Macaca fascicularis: one gene and its partners. The protein of the gene in region 3 purifies or fractionates together with the protein of the main gene of each other region. This does not show direct contact. Links are inferred from orthologs where the notes say so. Each region holds a gene or a part of one and is shown on either strand. Other genes may lie near its edges.

What was found. Proteins that work in one complex are often made in the same cells at the same time.
Region 1: the proteins of MAP3K4 (region 3) and GADD45A purify together in Homo sapiens (co-immunoprecipitation; 3 studies listed by BioGRID and IntAct, with this or other methods). This does not show direct contact. The link is inferred for Macaca fascicularis from reciprocal best matches to the Homo sapiens genes MAP3K4 and GADD45A.
Region 2: the proteins of MAP3K4 (region 3) and GADD45B purify together in Homo sapiens (co-immunoprecipitation; 3 studies listed by BioGRID and IntAct, counting the BioPlex papers as one, with this or other methods). This does not show direct contact. The link is inferred for Macaca fascicularis from reciprocal best matches to the Homo sapiens genes MAP3K4 and GADD45B.

Annotation. Positions count from the first base shown.
Region 1 is NC_088375.1:166,988,829-166,994,641, reverse strand, and holds GADD45A (growth arrest and DNA damage-inducible protein GADD45 alpha), read left to right. Parts: upstream 1-2,001; 5' UTR 2,002-2,299; coding exon 2,300-2,343; intron 2,344-2,829; coding exon 2,830-2,931; intron 2,932-3,169; coding exon 3,170-3,407; intron 3,408-4,484; coding exon 4,485-4,598; 3' UTR 4,599-5,161; downstream 5,162-5,813. UniProt on the Homo sapiens protein: In T-cells, functions as a regulator of p38 MAPKs by inhibiting p88 phosphorylation and activity.
Region 2 is NC_088393.1:3,129,791-3,135,591, reverse strand, and holds GADD45B (growth arrest and DNA damage-inducible protein GADD45 beta), read right to left. Parts: upstream 3,650-5,801; 5' UTR 3,418-3,649; coding exon 3,374-3,417; intron 3,248-3,373; coding exon 3,146-3,247; intron 2,747-3,145; coding exon 2,524-2,746; intron 2,285-2,523; coding exon 2,171-2,284; 3' UTR 1,513-2,170; downstream 1-1,512.
Region 3 is NC_088378.1:10,022,832-10,028,172, reverse strand, and holds part of MAP3K4 (mitogen-activated protein kinase kinase kinase 4), read left to right. Parts: intron 1-371; coding exon 372-638; intron 639-1,978; coding exon 1,979-2,128; intron 2,129-3,661; coding exon 3,662-3,823; intron 3,824-4,299; coding exon 4,300-4,433; intron 4,434-5,274; coding exon 5,275-5,341. UniProt on the Homo sapiens protein: Component of a protein kinase signal transduction cascade. Activates the CSBP2, P38 and JNK MAPK pathways, but not the ERK pathway. Specifically phosphorylates and activates MAP2K4 and MAP2K6.

The sequences.
Region 1 (5,813 bases), on a different chromosome or scaffold from region 3:
TAAATGTGGAATATGTGGGAAGTCATGCAATGCACAGGACTGCAGGATTCTGATATCTTATTTAACTCTCAGATTCTATTCAACTCAATAAATCTTGACTGTGCTTCTACTAAATGTAGGTATTGTGCTAGGAGCTGAGGACACCAAACTGATGAAGTCCTTGCTGTCAAGAAACTCACATGATTCCCTAATTCTTTGTCAGCTTGCTGTGATCATATTTGCTTCCCAAGAACCTCTAAGAAATGCCTAGTGGATAGAACCTTGGAGTTCCACGGAACATATTAACAATCGTCAAATGATGACTCAGGCTAGATTGTGTAATTCAGGTTTTGTCTGCAAAACTGAAAATGCTTTGGTAACCTACCTAAATTTCAATGTTGAGGAATTCTTTAAGAAACACATCAAATGTGAAGATTTAAGGCACAGACACGAGATACATAAGCATTCTTCGGTGAATTATGCACTGACCATGACCATTTCTTTACTCAAAGGTTGTCCCTGGCTGACAACGCAGTTAAAAAATGAGTGCAAAATGACAACTCAAATATATGAACCAGAAAAACCTATCACTTTTCTTTTCTACCAAATTAAGATCAAGAGAGCTGGAGAATATTTTGTCTAGAGTGATAAAAACATAAGGGTGCAAAACTCCCAGGTGACCTTTGCAAAAAATTACTTCTGTGACCTTTGGCTGTACAGCAACCTTAATAATGCAAGCACTGTTTTGAATGCAAGCATGTGGGAGCCGTTTTCACCACTTTTGGTGACTTCAGTAGGTTTAAGAAATGTTTTTGCATTTATTGCATAAACCATAAAACAAAGGAAGGGACTTTTGAACTACTCAGTGAGAGTCTATATATTAAAGTTTGTTTTTCAAAATGTGTAACTACCATTTGCAGTTTTAAAGGTCTGCTTTCCACCTGCAAGTTGCCATTATCTCAAAGGTGAAATTTTAGCATATGACTAAAAACTTCCTATAGTTACGGCTTCATGATTCAGCATCTAACATCAATAATTCACAGTGAGATCACACAGGAGGCTCTCTGTGGAAGGTAGTGACATACATACGTTAGGAAAGGAAGCTTAGGGCATATCAAGAGCATTTTGAATTTAGACTTGTGGGCTGTGTGGGTGTCAGATGGTTGTCTCTCGACTGGTGGGCGTCCAGAAGGATCCTTGTTTGGGCAAGGCTCTTTGAGAAAGGAGAATCTGGGTTGCCAGGGATTCCCACATGTGGTCACCAGCTCCCCACGCAGACCAGCTCACGATTTCCCAGTTACAGCGGGCAGGTGGGAAACCGTTCTGCATTCTGTGGAAAAGACTCCAACTTGGTTCCCTGCCATCCCTGAATACAAACGGGTTGGTTTTTCTTTTTTGAGCTTCCAACCCTTGCAGCTTTCCAAAAATAAATCAAACCAGCCATCAGGGCACCGAAATAATACTACTGCTAATAAGCAGCTTCGCCTAGACTTAGATAAACAACACTTCTGAGGTAAACTTTGCCCCAGAGGTCTGGAGACACTTTTTTAATGTAAACTGCTTACTAATAATTACTAGACTTAGGTGCATTAACCCTGGAAATAGATTTTAATAGCCACCCCTTAAAACAAAAGGCATGAAACGATAATAAGAAAAAAGTGCCGCGACTATTATAAAAAAACACTTGGCAGCCTGCTTCAGCCCAAGCTAAGGCTACCTCCCGCCTCTGCTGAAGCCCTCCACTCCCAGTGGTCCCCGCCAACCGGATAAGAGAGCGCGCGGGACCCGCCTTCCTCTCTCTGCACCGCCCCCGTCCCCGCCCCCGCCCCCGCCCCCTCGGCTCGCCTCCCGCGTGGCTCCTCCCTTTTCCGCTCCTCTCAACCTGACTCCAGGAGCTAGGGTCAAATTGCCGGAGCAGGCTGATTTGCATAGCCCAATGGCCAAGATGCATGCAAATGAGGCGGAAGGTGGTTGGCTGAGGGTTGGCAGGATAACGCCGACGAGCGGGGCCCTTTGTCCTCCAGTGGCTGGTAAGCAGTGGCTGCGAGGCAGCTGCCCAATTAGTGTCGTGAGGCCGGTGGCGAGGCGAGGGCCGGAGAGCGAGCGAACGAGCAAGCGGGGCGGGAGGGGTGGCCGAAGCTGCGGCGGCTGGCACAGGAGGAGGAGCCCGGGCGGGCGTGGGGCAGCCGGACAGCGCCGGGGCCTGAGCTCCCGGCGCGGCGCCTGTGAGTGAGTGCAGAAAGCAGGCGCTGGCGCGCTCGCCGTGGCAGGAGCAGCCCGCACGCCGCGCTCTCTCCGTGGGCGACCTGCAGTTTGCAATATGACTTTGGAGGAATTCTCGGCTGGAGAGCAGAAGACCGAAAGGTAAATCGGCCTGCGGACTCTTCCGGCCCGAACTTCTCTCACCTACCCCGCGCTCCCGGGTGCAGGCGGGCTGTGGAAGGTTTGCAGGGGAGGAAGCAGAAAAGTTTGCACAGGGCAACTCCCGCCCTTGCTCCCTCGGGACTCTCCGTGTAGCGTCCGCGGACTGAAAGAGCATGCCCCGCAACCCGAACGAGCCCCGCCGGGGCCTTTGCAAAGGGCAGCAGTGGCCGTCGCTGCCCTTGCGGCTCCTGGGGCTAGCAGCCTGTGGCAGGGGCACTCTCGGGACTTCTCATGGGACGCCCGGTCCTTGGGCGTGCAGGGGTCATGGGGGGTGACGGGGCCGCGGGAGCGCCGGGTTTTCGGAGAGCCCAGGTGCGCGGTGGTGCTTGCATTCGAGAGGGAGGGGCGTGGTGCCGGGCAATGGGGGCGGCGATGGGCCCGAGGGCACCGGGGCTGACGGGACCCCTCGCCCTTGCCCGCGTGTAGGATGGATAAGGTGGGGGATGCCCTGGAGGAAGTGCTCAGCAAAGCCCTGAGTCAGCGCACGATCACTGTCGGGGTGTACGAAGCGGCCAAACTGCTCAACGTGTAAGTGGGGCCCTTGCGCGTCTCCCGTGGCACCCCTTCCCGCCCTAGCCCGGGAGGTCGCCTTGGCTGGGCGCCCCTCGCCCGGCCGCGCCACTTCCTGTCGCTTTTCTTCTGCCCCCGCGGCTGCCTGTCCCGGAGGGGAGGGGGCGAGCTGGCCGGGCGGCGACCCCCGGAGACCCAGGCAGGGGTTGAGGGCGTCCGCGGTTCTGCGCTCACTGGCCCCGCCCGCTGCCCCCAGCGACCCCGATAACGTGGTGTTGTGCCTGCTGGCGGCGGACGAGGACGACGACCGAGATGTGGCTCTGCAGATCCACTTCACCCTGATCCAGGCGTTCTGCTGCGAGAACGACATCAACATCCTGCGCGTCAGCAACCCGGGCCGGCTGGCGGAGCTCCTGCTCTTGGAGACCGACGCTGGCCCCGCGGCGACCGAGGGCGCCGAGCAGCCCCCGGACCTGCACTGCGTGCTGGTGACGGTAAGGGGCAGGGGGACTGCAGCCTGCGGGGTAGAGCCCCGGAAGGACGGGAGTCAGGGCTGGGTCGCCTGATTGTGGATCTGGGGTAGGTTTGGGTCAGGAGGGTGCTGCCTTTGCCCCACGAGAGTGTGGCTGGACTTTCAGCCGAGATGTACTAGTTTCATCATCAGGATAATCTGTGGTACAGAACATGTCTAAGCATGCTGGGGACTGCCAGCAGCGGAAGAGATCCCTGTGAGTCAGCAGTCAGCCCAGCTACTCCCTACCTACATCTGCATTGCCTCCCGTGACTAATTCCTTTAGCAGGGCAGATTAGATAAAGCCAAATGAATTCCTGGCTCACCCCTCATTAAGGAGTCAGCTTCATTCTCTGCCAGTCAGAGCTAAAAATAGAAATTGTGTAGGAGACAAACCTTGTTAATTCCCTAGAAATACATTAAGAGGATAGAGTGGAATTTTTTTCTCTGCAATCTTGCATTTTTTTAATGGGCCTTTTTTTTTTTTTTACTCTTCTGATAAAAACCTTTGGTAGGTAGGGAAGTTATGTTTTCAGGGATAAGTGTGCTACTTTTGTCTTCTAAATTTTGCTTTTTGACTGGTCTAGTCAAGTGACAGCCGGATTATTTTGCTACTCCTTAAAAGTACTACTCTGTCTCTTGGGAGTAGAGTTGATGGCAATTCCAGTTAACTGCTGTGCAGCTCTCATCTCATTGTGCACACAGCATGGAAATCTTTCTCAAAACTGTTTCACTCAGGTCAGGGTAACAAGTTTGGTAGAGCAAACCCGTGAATGATACTCTCATGCAAAACTGAACAGATATGCAAACATATGTATGTGGTTCAGCTTGGGTTGCATGGGTTCAGACTTTGCAGTGTGTAGTTTAATAGGTAATTACCCTTAACGATTTTGCACGGAACCCAACTACTTTGAAGAAACTTTAATTTTTTGTGCTTCTAATTTGTCTCCATGTCACGTAGCCAAAATATAGAATGTTCAAGTGTCTTCTCCTCAAAAGTGTAATACTAGCAAATATCGATTTTTTAAAAATAAGTTTATTTTTCTAAATTTGTTTCCAGAATCCACATTCATCTCAATGGAAGGATCCTGCCTTAAGTCAACTTATTTGTTTTTGCCGGGAAAGTCGCTACATGGATCAGTGGGTTCCGGTGATTAATCTCCCTGAACGGTGATGGCATCTGAATGAAAATAACTGAACCAAATTGCACTGAAGTTTTTGAAATACCTTTGTAGTTACTCAAGCAGTTACTCCCTACACTGATGCAAGGATTACAGAAACTGATGTCAAGGGGCTGAGTGAGTTCAACTACATGTTCTGGGGGCCCGGAGATAGATGACTTTGCAGATGGAAAGAGGTGAAAATGAAGAAGGAAGCTGTGTTGAAACAGAAAAATAAGTCAAAAGGAACAAAAATTACAAAGAACCATGCAGGAAGGAAAACTATGTATTAATTTAGAATGGTTGAGTTACATTAAAATAAACCAAATCTGTTAAAGTTTAAAAGTACAGCCATAGTTTGGGTATTTTTGGTTTATATGCCCTCAAGTAAAAGAAAAGCCTAAAGGGTTAATCATATTTGAAAACCATATTTTATTGTATTTTGATGAGATATTAAATTCTCAAAGTTTTATTATAAATTCTACTAAGTTATTTTATGACATGAAAAGTTATTTATGCTATAAATTTTTTTGAAACACAATACCTACAATAAACTGGTATGAATAATTGCATCATTTCCTATTGTGTGCTCTTGTTTCTTTTAACTCGTACTTTTTAAAACATTTTACTGACGCTCTGCTCTATACCAGGTCTATAGTCAGAAAGCACATGACTTAAAGGAGTTGGAGTTAGGAAAAAGGGATGGTTAGAGATTCAGCTTGCAAAATTTGAATAATTAAAGATCAATGATAGTAGTGCCAAAATAAGATTATACACAAAAGGTTGAGGAGGCAGAGAGGACAGAGTGACCAAAGCTACCTACCAGTTTTTATTGAAGAGAGATCATTTTATGTTGGTCTTAGTTTTATTTCCCTAGTTACAGAGGGCAAAGGGATATTGCTAGCAGCTGCACTAGTTTGTGCAAAGGTGTGGAGGCCTGAAATACCACAACCAGGTCAGTAAAAACAGAGTGATTCTGTGTGTGCCTCTGGTGTAGAAAGATAAGGGAGCGACAGGGCTGAGAAGGAAGGTGGGGATTAGGCCCAGGCTGTGAAGGGCATTCTGTGTCACCCTTATGCATTTGGGCTTCCTTCTGTAAACTTCAGGCAGATAGCGGAGCCCTTGAAGGAAGTGGCATGATCAGTGTTCTAGGAAATTAACACCAGGGTCTGTGAAAGATGATAATTGGGATGAGCAGCTGTAGGTGACAAGGCCAATTAGGAAGTGAC
Region 2 (5,801 bases), on a different chromosome or scaffold from region 3:
CAGCCCCGGCGATGAAGTGAGACTGTCTCAAAAGAAAGAAAAAGAAAAGCCATAACTTTTGCAGGCCGCCACTAGATCGACCCTTGCCCCACCTGGTCCTTCCCTTCTTGGGTTTTGGCCCCCCATGTTCTCCCGCAGCCCAATCGCTCAAGAGCCCCTCGCCCTCTGTACCCCTTCCCAGGCGCCCTCCCCTCTTGGACACCATCTCAGGGATCCCCACCCCATCATCCCCTACTCCCTCGGGGCTCCCGCCTCTTCGCCTCCATTCCCCCCTCCTCCAACCCCTTCGGGACTCCTGCTGCCTGTCTACCCCCTCCCGGGGTTTCCCTGTTGGTTCAGGGCTGTGGGGGATTCCCCTTCCCCTTCTGGGCTCCCCTTTCCCCACTTCAGTTCTCCCCTCCTCCTAGCCCCAGGCGGGATCCCCTCCCCCCTCCCCCCTTCTCCCTCTGGGACTTCCCCCTCCCTCTCTCGCCCTCCCCCGCCGGGGCTCCCCCGATTCCCGTGACTCCCAGGGAGCCGCTGGGGTTTTCCTCATGCGCCCACGTGAGGCTCCGTGGAAAGGTCGCGGCCTGCGGGCAGGACCACCCCACCCTCTCCACACTCCTCCTTAGTTCTCAGGCTTGGGGCTGCATGGCAGAGGGGAGCCAAGGTCGTCCCTGCGCCCGGCCAGGGCGGGCCCATCCTGCAGACCCGGGGCGGGAAGACTGAGGCCGGGCACGGAAGGGCTGGGCCACGCTCCCAGCCTGGGGCAGGGGGAGTCACCACCGCGCCTGCAACTTTGGGAGAAGTAGGAGGTGGCTGGCCAGGGCTCGCAGTTTCGGTTTAGAGGCAAAACGCAGCACTGTGCCAAGGCCAGCTGGCCCGGAGGCCGACTTCCTGGGGTATTTTTCTGCTTGTTGATTTTAGTTTGCGGAAAAAAAAAAAAAAAAAAAGTTCTTTTCTTTAGTGCAAAAGAGAGGCCTATCCTGGGATGGAGACGGCTGTGGTGGGTGCGGGGCACTCCCTGCGGAATCCTCCAAAGGAGCTCTTCCTTGCAAGTCCTGAGCTCACCTCGCTGTGTGGTCCCAGGTGCCCCATTGACCGCTCTGGACCTTGGGCTGCGGTGGCGGCCGCCGGGGCGGTCAGGGGCTGCAGCCAGCACCCCCTCCCGCCGAAATGCCTCCATATGTGCCCAGAGCTTAGGGCTGGCTCCTGCACAGCCAGTAACAGCGGTGGCACGGCGGCCAGGTTTCGTAATAAACCGGTCTCTTAATTGCTACAGGGTAGGAGGAGAGGAAAAAAAAAAAAAAAAAGAGGCATAGATTTGTTGGAGTCGGTGGAGGCGCCTGCTGCAGAGAAGAGGTACTGTTTTGCACGGGAGCCTGGAGCTGCTAACAGGGGCTTGAGTAACACTTCCTGGTGAGCTGGCAGGGGTTGCGGAGGAGAGGTGGGGAGGGGGGGTGTGAAGCGTGTCCCAGGGGAGGGGGCAGGGGTCCCGGTTGTTCTCAGAAGCCGAAAACATACAAGCACCCAGAAGCTTTAGAAATTTATTACAAGGTCATCAGAGTAGAAATAAAAATATAGATATCTGTGCTTCCCATCTCGCTCTCAGTGGTTCGAGTAACAAGTGCAAGTAACAAAATAGATTGTCTCTATGATTCGCAAACTGGGAGTTCATGGGTACAGAGCAACTTCGGCCCCAGCTCCCAAGTCCCAAAGTGTGGTCTTGTCGAGGGTGCAGACAAGCACCAACCAAGTTCAACCAGGTCTCTAGTCTGCAGACGCCAGCTCCAGTCTCAAGGAGGGTGGGGGTTGCAGTCAGTCTCACTCCACCCTCAAGTGGAGAGTCTGGACCTTCCATGATAGGGAAGGCGGCAGCGTGCCCCGCCCCTCCAGCTTCTGCTCCATCCCAAGGCCTGAGCTCCGGGGTCCTGTCTCCTGCTGGCCTGGGTCCCCACTTCTCCTCCATCGGATCGGCGGCCGCCAGCTCCCCGATCTCCGCCCTGGGGGCGGCCACTCACTCCCCTTCTCCTCCTCCTCCTCCTCTTCAGTCTCCAACGACTCTGCCCCCGATGGTTTCGTGGGTTGGGTTGTTTTGGGGGGGTTGTGCTGGGGGGGAGGGGGGTTCAAATATTTATTTTATTTTTTGTTTTTGGCAGCAACTCAACAGGTTCTGCTGCTGGGAAGGGCCTCAGCGTTCCTGAAGAGAGATGTAGGGCACCCACTGGTTGTTGCCCCGGCTTTCTTCGCAGTAGCTGGCTACCTCCACCAAGCCGTGGCTCTTCCAGGCGTCCGTGTGAGGGTTCTGTGGGAGGGGAAAAGAAAGGGTTTAGTGGGAGCCTCCCTCTCCCAGGGCCCCATGTGTGGGGAAAACAGGCAGGCTCAAAATAGCTCCCTGGGTGAGGAGGCCCCAGCCCGGCTGCCCACGGGACATGCCAAGCATGGTTGAACCCTGAGCTGTGCAGGACCAGTCAGCCCGACTTTGTTGACAAACACCAGCCCAGGTGCCCGGGCGTGGCAGGTCAGGGCAGAGGCCCAACTCACCGTGACCAGGAGACAATGCAGGTCTCGGGCCTCAGTGGTGCCCTGGGTCTCGGCCGGCTCTCCCAGGAGCTGTGCCAGGCGCTGCATGCCCGACACCCGCATGATGTTAATGTCGTTGTCGCAGCAGAAGGACTGGATGAGCGTGAAGTGGATTTGCAGGGCGATGTCATCCTCCTCCTCCTCGTCAATGGCCAAGAGGCAGAGGACCACGCTGTCTGGGTCCCTGAGGGGGCCAAAGGGAAGGGGTGGGTCAGCCGGGAACAGGGGAGAGGCCACCGTGCAGGGGGAGTTTGCAAAAAAAGGAGCGTGCAAGAGCAAAAGAGAAACTGCAGGGGTGCAGGGGATTGCCTCTGCAAGCTGGTGACGGTGGGGGGCGGGGAAGGCACACGGTTCAAAGTGTGGGGTGTGGGGAGACAGGCCCACAGCGGGAGGGGCGCTTGCAGACGATGCATCAGGATACGGCAGCCCCCAATCCACAAAACAGCAGAGGAGCTCTGCATCCACAGCGGGTGGCACTTGGGGAAGTCCCAGCCCCATGCGAGACAAGCGTGTGGAAAGCGTCCAGAGCGGAGGGGAGGTCCCGTCCCACCCGCGCCCGGCCCGGGGAGGGGGTCTGACTCACACATTCATCAACTTGGCCGACTCGTACACCCCCACTGTGAGGCGATCCTGGCGCTGAGCGGCCACCAACAGCTCCTCCACCGCGGCGGTCACCGTCTGCATCCTGAGGCCAGGAGAGAGGGATCAGTGACGGGCGGACCACCGGGTGCTACATTCCGCTCCCGGCCCGGCCCAACCCGACCCATCCCGTCCCGGCCAACCTCAGACGGCGGCGGTCCCGGCTACTTACTTCTGCGCCGCGTTGTCGCACGCCACGAGCTCTTCCAGCGTCATGTTGCAATTATAATCCACAGTGGACGCGGCTCCACGACAGTCCCCAGGGAGAAATTGCAAAATCCGCGCCAGAGAGCCCAAAACCTTCCCACGGAGCTGGAGCGCTCGTCCAAGACCTTCGGGAAGCAGCGAAATCCTTCCAGAAAAGGCGGAAAAAAATGTTGCAAAGTCCTTGGCGAAAATAATCCGGGAAGTTGCAGAAACCAACCGTAGTCCGAAGCCTCGGCGATCTGAGCCGGGAGCCTCCGGCACCGACTTTTATAGACTTGACGGCTGGGGCGAGGCCTCAGTGGAGTCATTCAACCCTCCTATTGGTGGAAGGACAACGGAGAGTGCAGACAGCTCTGCGGTTGGCCGACGGCGGCGAGGGGGCGGAGCGCCGTGTGGGGGCGCCCCACGTGGGGGCGAGAACCGGGAGGAGGGCGCGCGGGGGCCGGGTAGGTGACCGCGAATGCCAGAAAAGAAAAAAAAAAGCAGAAGTTTTTTTCTCCTGATTTCCCGGCAGCCGAGCCGCGGTTCGGGGCGCGCGCGGGATTTCCAGCGCGCGAGGCGGCCCGGACTTTCGCCGGGGGGGGGCCTGGAATCCCCTCCCGCTGCGCGGAGAGTCCCGGACTGCTCCTTTCCCAAGTTCTGCTGGGGGTGGAGGGGCTGCACCGGGAAAGGGCCCCGTTCGCAGCCTGATCTCGCCCAGGTGGTGGTGATGACCGGAGTCTCTCCTGGCTGCGGCGACCCCAGCCCCTGGGTGATTTCGCTTTTCCCGGCCTCTATATTCCTGTCTGAGTAATGGGGCTGCAGCGCCGGCCTCGCTGGTTTGCAGAGCATCACATAAAATACGGCTGACAGTAAGCGCTCAATACACATCATCTGTCACCTGGTGGTCGCGGGAGGCCTCCTCCAGGGCCCCGAAAGTGGGAGGTTGCAAAGCCCGGGGCACTCTGGAGAAGAAAGCGGGCGCCCCCTCGCCGACCCCGCGAGTTTCAGGGTGGGGCGCGCGTGGGAGGTGCAGGTGGCGTGGCCCCGCCCCCGCCAGCTGCCTGGCGTTCCAGGCTTTGCGCGTGCGGAGGCCTCCAGGCCGAGGAGAAAGCCATTGTTGGGGGGAATGGTGCAGGCTGCGGCTGCACGCCGCTACCCCAGGCCCACGTGCAAGGATGACGGCCACCTTTATTTCTCACTCCGGGGTGGGCGCTGACCTGCACTGAGCGTGGTGCGGATCTGGCACCCTCCACCCCTCCCGATTCATGGATGATTTAATCCAAGACCTGAGAAGCAGGGGGGATGCTTATGTGCATTATGCAAAAGGGTAAACTGAGGCTTGGTGAGGCCACAGGCTAGTTCGTGTTGGAGCCACGCCTGTGCGCCAGGCACGGCCGCCTGCAGGACTCCGCCGCCCCAGGAAGGCTGCTTAGGAACGAGGCGGGCAGGCCCCGCATGACAACGTCTCCCACGGTCGACTGGGGGCTCCCGGGTGACTCACGTCTGAGTCCCCTCCCCCGCCAGCCTGGGTTCTGGCCTCGGCCCTGCGGCTCGGTTTCCCCGGTTCCCCGGCTCCCCGGCCCGCGAGCCCAGCTGACGCATCCCGCCTTCTCCGCGCCGCCCACCGCTGGGGCACGAAATGTCCCGGGGCTGCGAGGCGCGGCGGCGCCATCTGGTGGCCGCGCAGAGTTTCTGCGCCCTCAGCGCCGGAAGAGAGGGACGGACGGGCGGGGCACTGGGCTGGAGGCGGGGGATAAGGGGACCGTGGCAGTTGCAACGTTTCATATAATTTTATATATGCAATGTTTTACGCAGGCAACATATATATTTATATTTTAAAATTTAATTTTAAAAATTAAATCGGCCGGGAGCGGTGGATCACGCCTGTAATCCCAGCACTTTGGGAGTCCTAGGCGGGCAGATCAACTGAGGTCAGGAGTTCCAGACCAGCCTGACCAATACGGCCAAATTGAGCTGAAGATAGGGGAGGTCAGGGAGGTGAGTGGGATAAGTGCAAAGTCAGATTCTGTCTTTATTTACAATTTTGATATTTTGTTCCCTCACGCTGGGATTACAGGCGTGAGCCACCGCGCCCGGCCTGATTTTTGTTTTTAAAAAGTATTGCAGGCTGGGTAATCCCAGCACATTAAGAGGCCAAGGAGAGCAGATCATGAGGTCAGGAGTTCGAGACCAGCCTGACCAACATGGTGAAACCCCGTCTCTACTAAAAGCACAAAAATTAGCTGGGCATGGTGGCGCGTGCCTGTAATCCCAGCTACTCAGGAGGCTGAGGCAGGAGAATGGATTGAACCTAGGAGATGGAGGTTTCAGTGAGCTGAGATCATGCCACTGCACATGGCATGGTGACAGAGAGAGATTCCATCTCAAAACAAAAGGCCGGGCACGGTGGC
Region 3 (5,341 bases):
TGCCTTTTTCCCAAGCCAGGTGATTTTCTGTAAGCATCACAAACTAGCAGTGGTTGAGGTTTTTTCAGGCTGTCTTGCCTCCCCCTCAAGTATTTTCTTTGTTGTTGAAAAGAAAGCAGTGAGGAGGATGTCCAGTAATCGGGAGACTCTGTAAGGCCTCTCCTCCAGTGCGTTCACAGACTCCTCCTGCCTCCTCCAGTCACACTGAACCCAGCTTCCTTCCTGCAGTTCCCTCACTGCTCCAATTCACACCCTTCCCACATCCCCTCCCTAAACCTGCCTCTGCTTTCCTAGGTTCATTTGTTTGTTTTAAATAACATACTTCTCTAATGTACAACGTTCCTTAAGATTTTGGATTATTTCTTTTGCAGGTACAAATTCCTGGGTTAGAAAACTTGCAAGTGTTTGTTCCAGACACTCTTGCTGAGGAGAAGAGTATTATTTTGCAGTTACTCAATGCAGCCGCAGGAAAGGACTGTTCAAAAGATTCAGACGACGTACTCTTCGATGCCTATCTGCTTCTGACCAAGCACAGTGATCGAGCCCGTGATTCAGAGGACAGCTGGGGCACGTGGGAGGCACAGCCTGTCAAAGTCGTGCCTCAGGTGGAGACTGTTGACACCCTGAGAAGCATGCAGGTACATCTCACCTCCGACTTCTCAGCAGTGTTACTTAAAGGACTTTTAGTAAGAATGAACTGTTAGCCACTCATGAATGAGGGGTGCAGCTACCCTAGTAATCACAAGTATATACTTCCCAAAAATATGCCTCAATGTGTTAATAGGTAATTTTGCAGCATAATTTGTACAATGTATCATTCTGTTAAGTTAAATTATTCTGGAATATTTGAAATAAACCATCTTTCTGGTTTATATCTTTTCTTAGTTCAGCCACAGCTTAGTTCAGCTGTGGAGCTATGATCTAAAAGAAATTATGTCACTAATATAATTTGTAGTTCTAGAAATCCCAGTTCTCCAAGTATTCAGGTTTACTGATTATTTAATTTTCACTTTTTGTAGTGAAGGTTGTCCCCTCCCTACCTAACAGGGACCTCGTGACAGTTTCTGTAACTCATTAGTTATAAACTGTGAGAAGCTTTCTCATTTATCTGTGTTCAGCTTAGGAACAGTCATGGTGAGTGTTCATATGCACCTTGAGCTCAGTCTCACAAGAACTGAGTATACACTGGCCTGCTGTGTCCCTTCACCCCAACAACTCTGCTTTTATATTCCGTCTCAGTGAATGGTTCCGCGTTCACTCACATGTTTAAACCAGAAATGTGACAGCTAATATAAATTCAGCCTCCCACCTTTCCAGTTAATACCTTGCCAGAAGTATTTCCAGTCAATGATCCTTTCCCTGCATCCCCAGAGCAGCTGCTATAGTCAGAACTTTACCATCCCTCTCCTGAACTATTGCAGTTTCTTACTTTGAGTTTCCTTGCTTCAAACCTCACCTTCTGTCTCTCCAATTCTATGTTTGTTTTTGTACTTCCAGAATGATCATTATAATACATCTGATTGCATCACAGATCTACTTAAAATACTGCAAGGATTCTTTATCTCTTGAAGAACAAAAGTAATAAAGTCTTGATTTCTTAATGTTTTATATAAGGCCCTTCAATTGATGTCTCTTATTCCTACATTTTCCTTCTTCACACTGCTCCAATACACACACTCAAACTCACACTCACACTCTGCACTAGCAGTACTCAACACTTGAAGTTCTAGGATATCTCAAAGATGTCATGCCTGCAGTCCCAAGGGGTTGTTCTCCATGGTGCTGAATATCCCAGCTGTCAATGCCCACTGAAGTGTGTTGCTATGTAGGAGAAGCTTTGCTTAAAAATGACTTTCTGATCAGATGGTTGTTGGCCTGGTATCCCTGAGATTGGCATTGTTTTTGGACTGGTGTTGAACTAGAATAACAACTAGTAACTGGGTTGGTTTTTGTGTCCTGTGCTTGATTTTCCTCCCAGGTGGATAACCTTTTACTAGTTGTCATGCAGTCTGCCCATCTCACAATTCAGAGAAAAGCTTTCCAGCAGTCCATTGAGGGACTTATGACTCTGTGCCAGGAGCAGACATCCAGTCAGCCGGTCATCGCCAAAGCTTTGCAGCAGCTGAAGGTATCACGCTGTTCTCTACATTAGCTGAGATTTTTCCTTTTTGCTGAAATACTGTGGAAGAGTCAGTGTGTGGTAATGTGTGTAAGGTAATATCATCCAAGGAACTTGAGCTCTTAAATTGCCCACCACGCACCTCTCTTCCCAATACATATTTTCTTACGTCTAAACTACAGATTCTGAGATTCCTGAAACTGTAGAACTTTGTAATTGGAAAGGATAGAGAATTGAACTTTATGTGACTTACTCATGATGACTACGTGACTGGCTAGTGGCAAAGTTGAAAATTTAGGAATATAGGTCTCTTCATTCCCAGTGTAAATTTCATTCTCCTTTCACAATCTCCAGTATTTACTAGAGGTATTCCATATCAGTAGTGTGTAATAGAAGATATATTGTTTTGTTTAATAAATCAACCAAACATAATAGAAAAAAGTTGCAGAGAAGCACAAAGGCCTTTCAAAGTTTATAACAAGCCACAGCCTGGCTGTCTTTTTCCATTATTTTCTGTTTTTGACACTTTCTATTTTGTATCCCATGTATCAGTCTTGATCTCATCCACACTTTTGCAGGTGATCAGTTACGTCTTCTCACTCGCATTAAGGCTTAACTTCTTGAAGAAGAAACACTCTCTGAAGTTACAAGTCATTTCATAAACATTTGTTTTTCTTCTGTCAGTCTGATTTGTCTAATTTATCTATAAACATTTATTAACTAAATATTTAGGTTATCTCTCTTTATAGATTGCTGGAAGAATATTTTGTAACCATAGTAAGGGGATTGCCTGATGGAGACCTTGTATGCACTCATGTGTAAGGGTAGAAAGGGAGACCAATTTGGAGCTATTGTGTTGACGACAGAGGTGATGAAAGCTCGAGCTAGGGCAGGGCTTCTCAGCCTCTTCAGTGTGGACATTTGGGCCGGTAATTCTTTGTTGTGGAGGTCCGTCCTGTGCATTCCAGGACGTTTAGCAACATTCCTGGCCTCTACTTACCATATCCCTGTAGATTCCACTTTTTCCTCCAAATTTTGACAGTCTAAAACTTCTCTGGACAACGTCTCCAGACGCTGAGGGGAGGGCGAAAAATCCACCCCAGAAGAGAACCCCTGGACTAGGAAGTAGCAGGGAAATGAGGACAGCCTGATTCGAGGACACTGTGGAGGTCATCTAGAAGTACGTGGGCTTTTTCACTCTGTGGAATTGCACCCGTACTTATGGTTGAGCAACCGTCCAAGGGGAGAAAACAACAGGTGGTTGATGTATAAAAATATTGAAGATAAAAGCATCTATTCCAAGAGCAGATTACAACTAGACTGTATCATTTTAAATGCATTTTTTCTCTTCTATTTAAGAATGCCAAATAAAATGACATAATTTCTTCTATATTTGGTAATTCCTTTTGATAACTAAAAGTGGCTGAATTGTTTTGTAGTGGTTAATGTCTGTGATGATGATGAACGAAATCTTTCTTTAAAATGTGGTAAGTATTGTATGATTTGCTTCGTTTTGCATTAATCCTGGTTTGGACTCTTTAGAATGATGCATTAGAGCTATGCAACAGAATAAGCAATGCCATTGACCGCGTGGACCACATGTTCACATCAGAATTCGATGCTGAAGTTGATGAATCCGAATCTGTCACCTTGCAACAGTACTACCGAGAAGCAATGATTCAGGGGTACAATTTTGGATTTGAGGTAGGTTCAAAATAAGAGGAAACACACACTACAGTTTAGTAATTGCTTGATAACTTACAGAAAGTTTTAGGAACCTTTTACAGTAAATCTGATACTGTAATCACAGCGAAATCAAGAATACCATCTTATATCACTGCTGTATATCGGAGATGTTACTGTACTTTTAAACTGTTAGGTAGTTGTCCGACTTTTGTTTTGTGCCAACAGCCAACTACTTAACATTTTAAAACTTTAAAGAGATGTTTTATATCATGAAAGCACATTCTTAATTTAAACTCAGGAGTGAAACATTTATGAAACTGCATATTGAAACACTATACTTTCCATAATTCTTCATAATATTCAAAATATAGAAATTTTAATTGGATTTCACTTTTTGTTTTTAGAAAACATTTTAAACAGACATGACATTATAGTGGGTGGCATTATTTAATGATCATTTTCTTAATTTTGATATACCTGAAATCTTCTTACAGTATCATAAAGAAGTTGTTCGTTTGATGTCTGGGGAGTTTAGACAGAAGATAGGAGACAAATATATAAGCTTTGCCCGGAAGTGGATGAATTATGTCCTGACTAAATGTGAGAGTGGTAGAGGTACAAGACCCAGGTAATGACCAAGTAGGATGTTTCTGAAATATGTCATGTGGGGTTGGGAGTATTTGTTCATATATGTCCTATGGGATTTTTTTTGAGCAGATGACACAGAAGGGAGCACCCTAAACTCTTTGGTGATCAGGTTTTGTTTTTTTTTTTTTAATGGAAAAATATACAGAGAAAACTGCATAATTCTTGGGAAAAAATTTTTTTAAAAATTTGTTCCAAATTGGAGTTGTCTTTAAGGGAACTCATGTTCTCCTTTGACAAGTCTTCCTGATGACTAATGTTTTTTCCTCCTTCATGAAATTTATTCATTAAGAAACCGTTTTGGAATTTGCAGGGGTGAAATGGGTGAATCATCTGTGAGGCTCAATAGTAGCTCCACTAAAGTAAACATAGTTATTAAAGTGTCATGACTGTGTGAAAAATAGCTGAGTGTTCTGTAATTTGTAATGGAGGGGTAGCGTGGGGCACTTTTTAAAAGTCATTAAGCAATTTCTCTAAGTTAGAGAAAACACATTTGCTGTGCCTGAGACTCCAGTGGGAACTTTGTGTTACAAAACTCATAAATAATTGTTGAATTACAAATAAATAATTGTTGAATTACAGATGGCACCTATCATGTCTAAAATCCTCTTCCATGCTTCCTATTGGTTTCAAAACAAAATTAAATTTTAAAAAATTAGGTCACACTGTAAACTTACTGAACCCAGGCAAAAAAAAAAAAAAAAAAAAAGGTGTTTTGTCATAAATAGTAATTATAATTATGTTACTTTTCAGTATTGTACAGTCTAAAACTGCTACAGCATTTTCTTGGTTGTTTGTGATTGCCGAACTTTTTCATGTACCAGGTGGGCGACTCAAGGATTTGATTTTCTACAAGCAATTGAACCTGCCTTTATTTCAGCTTTACCAGAA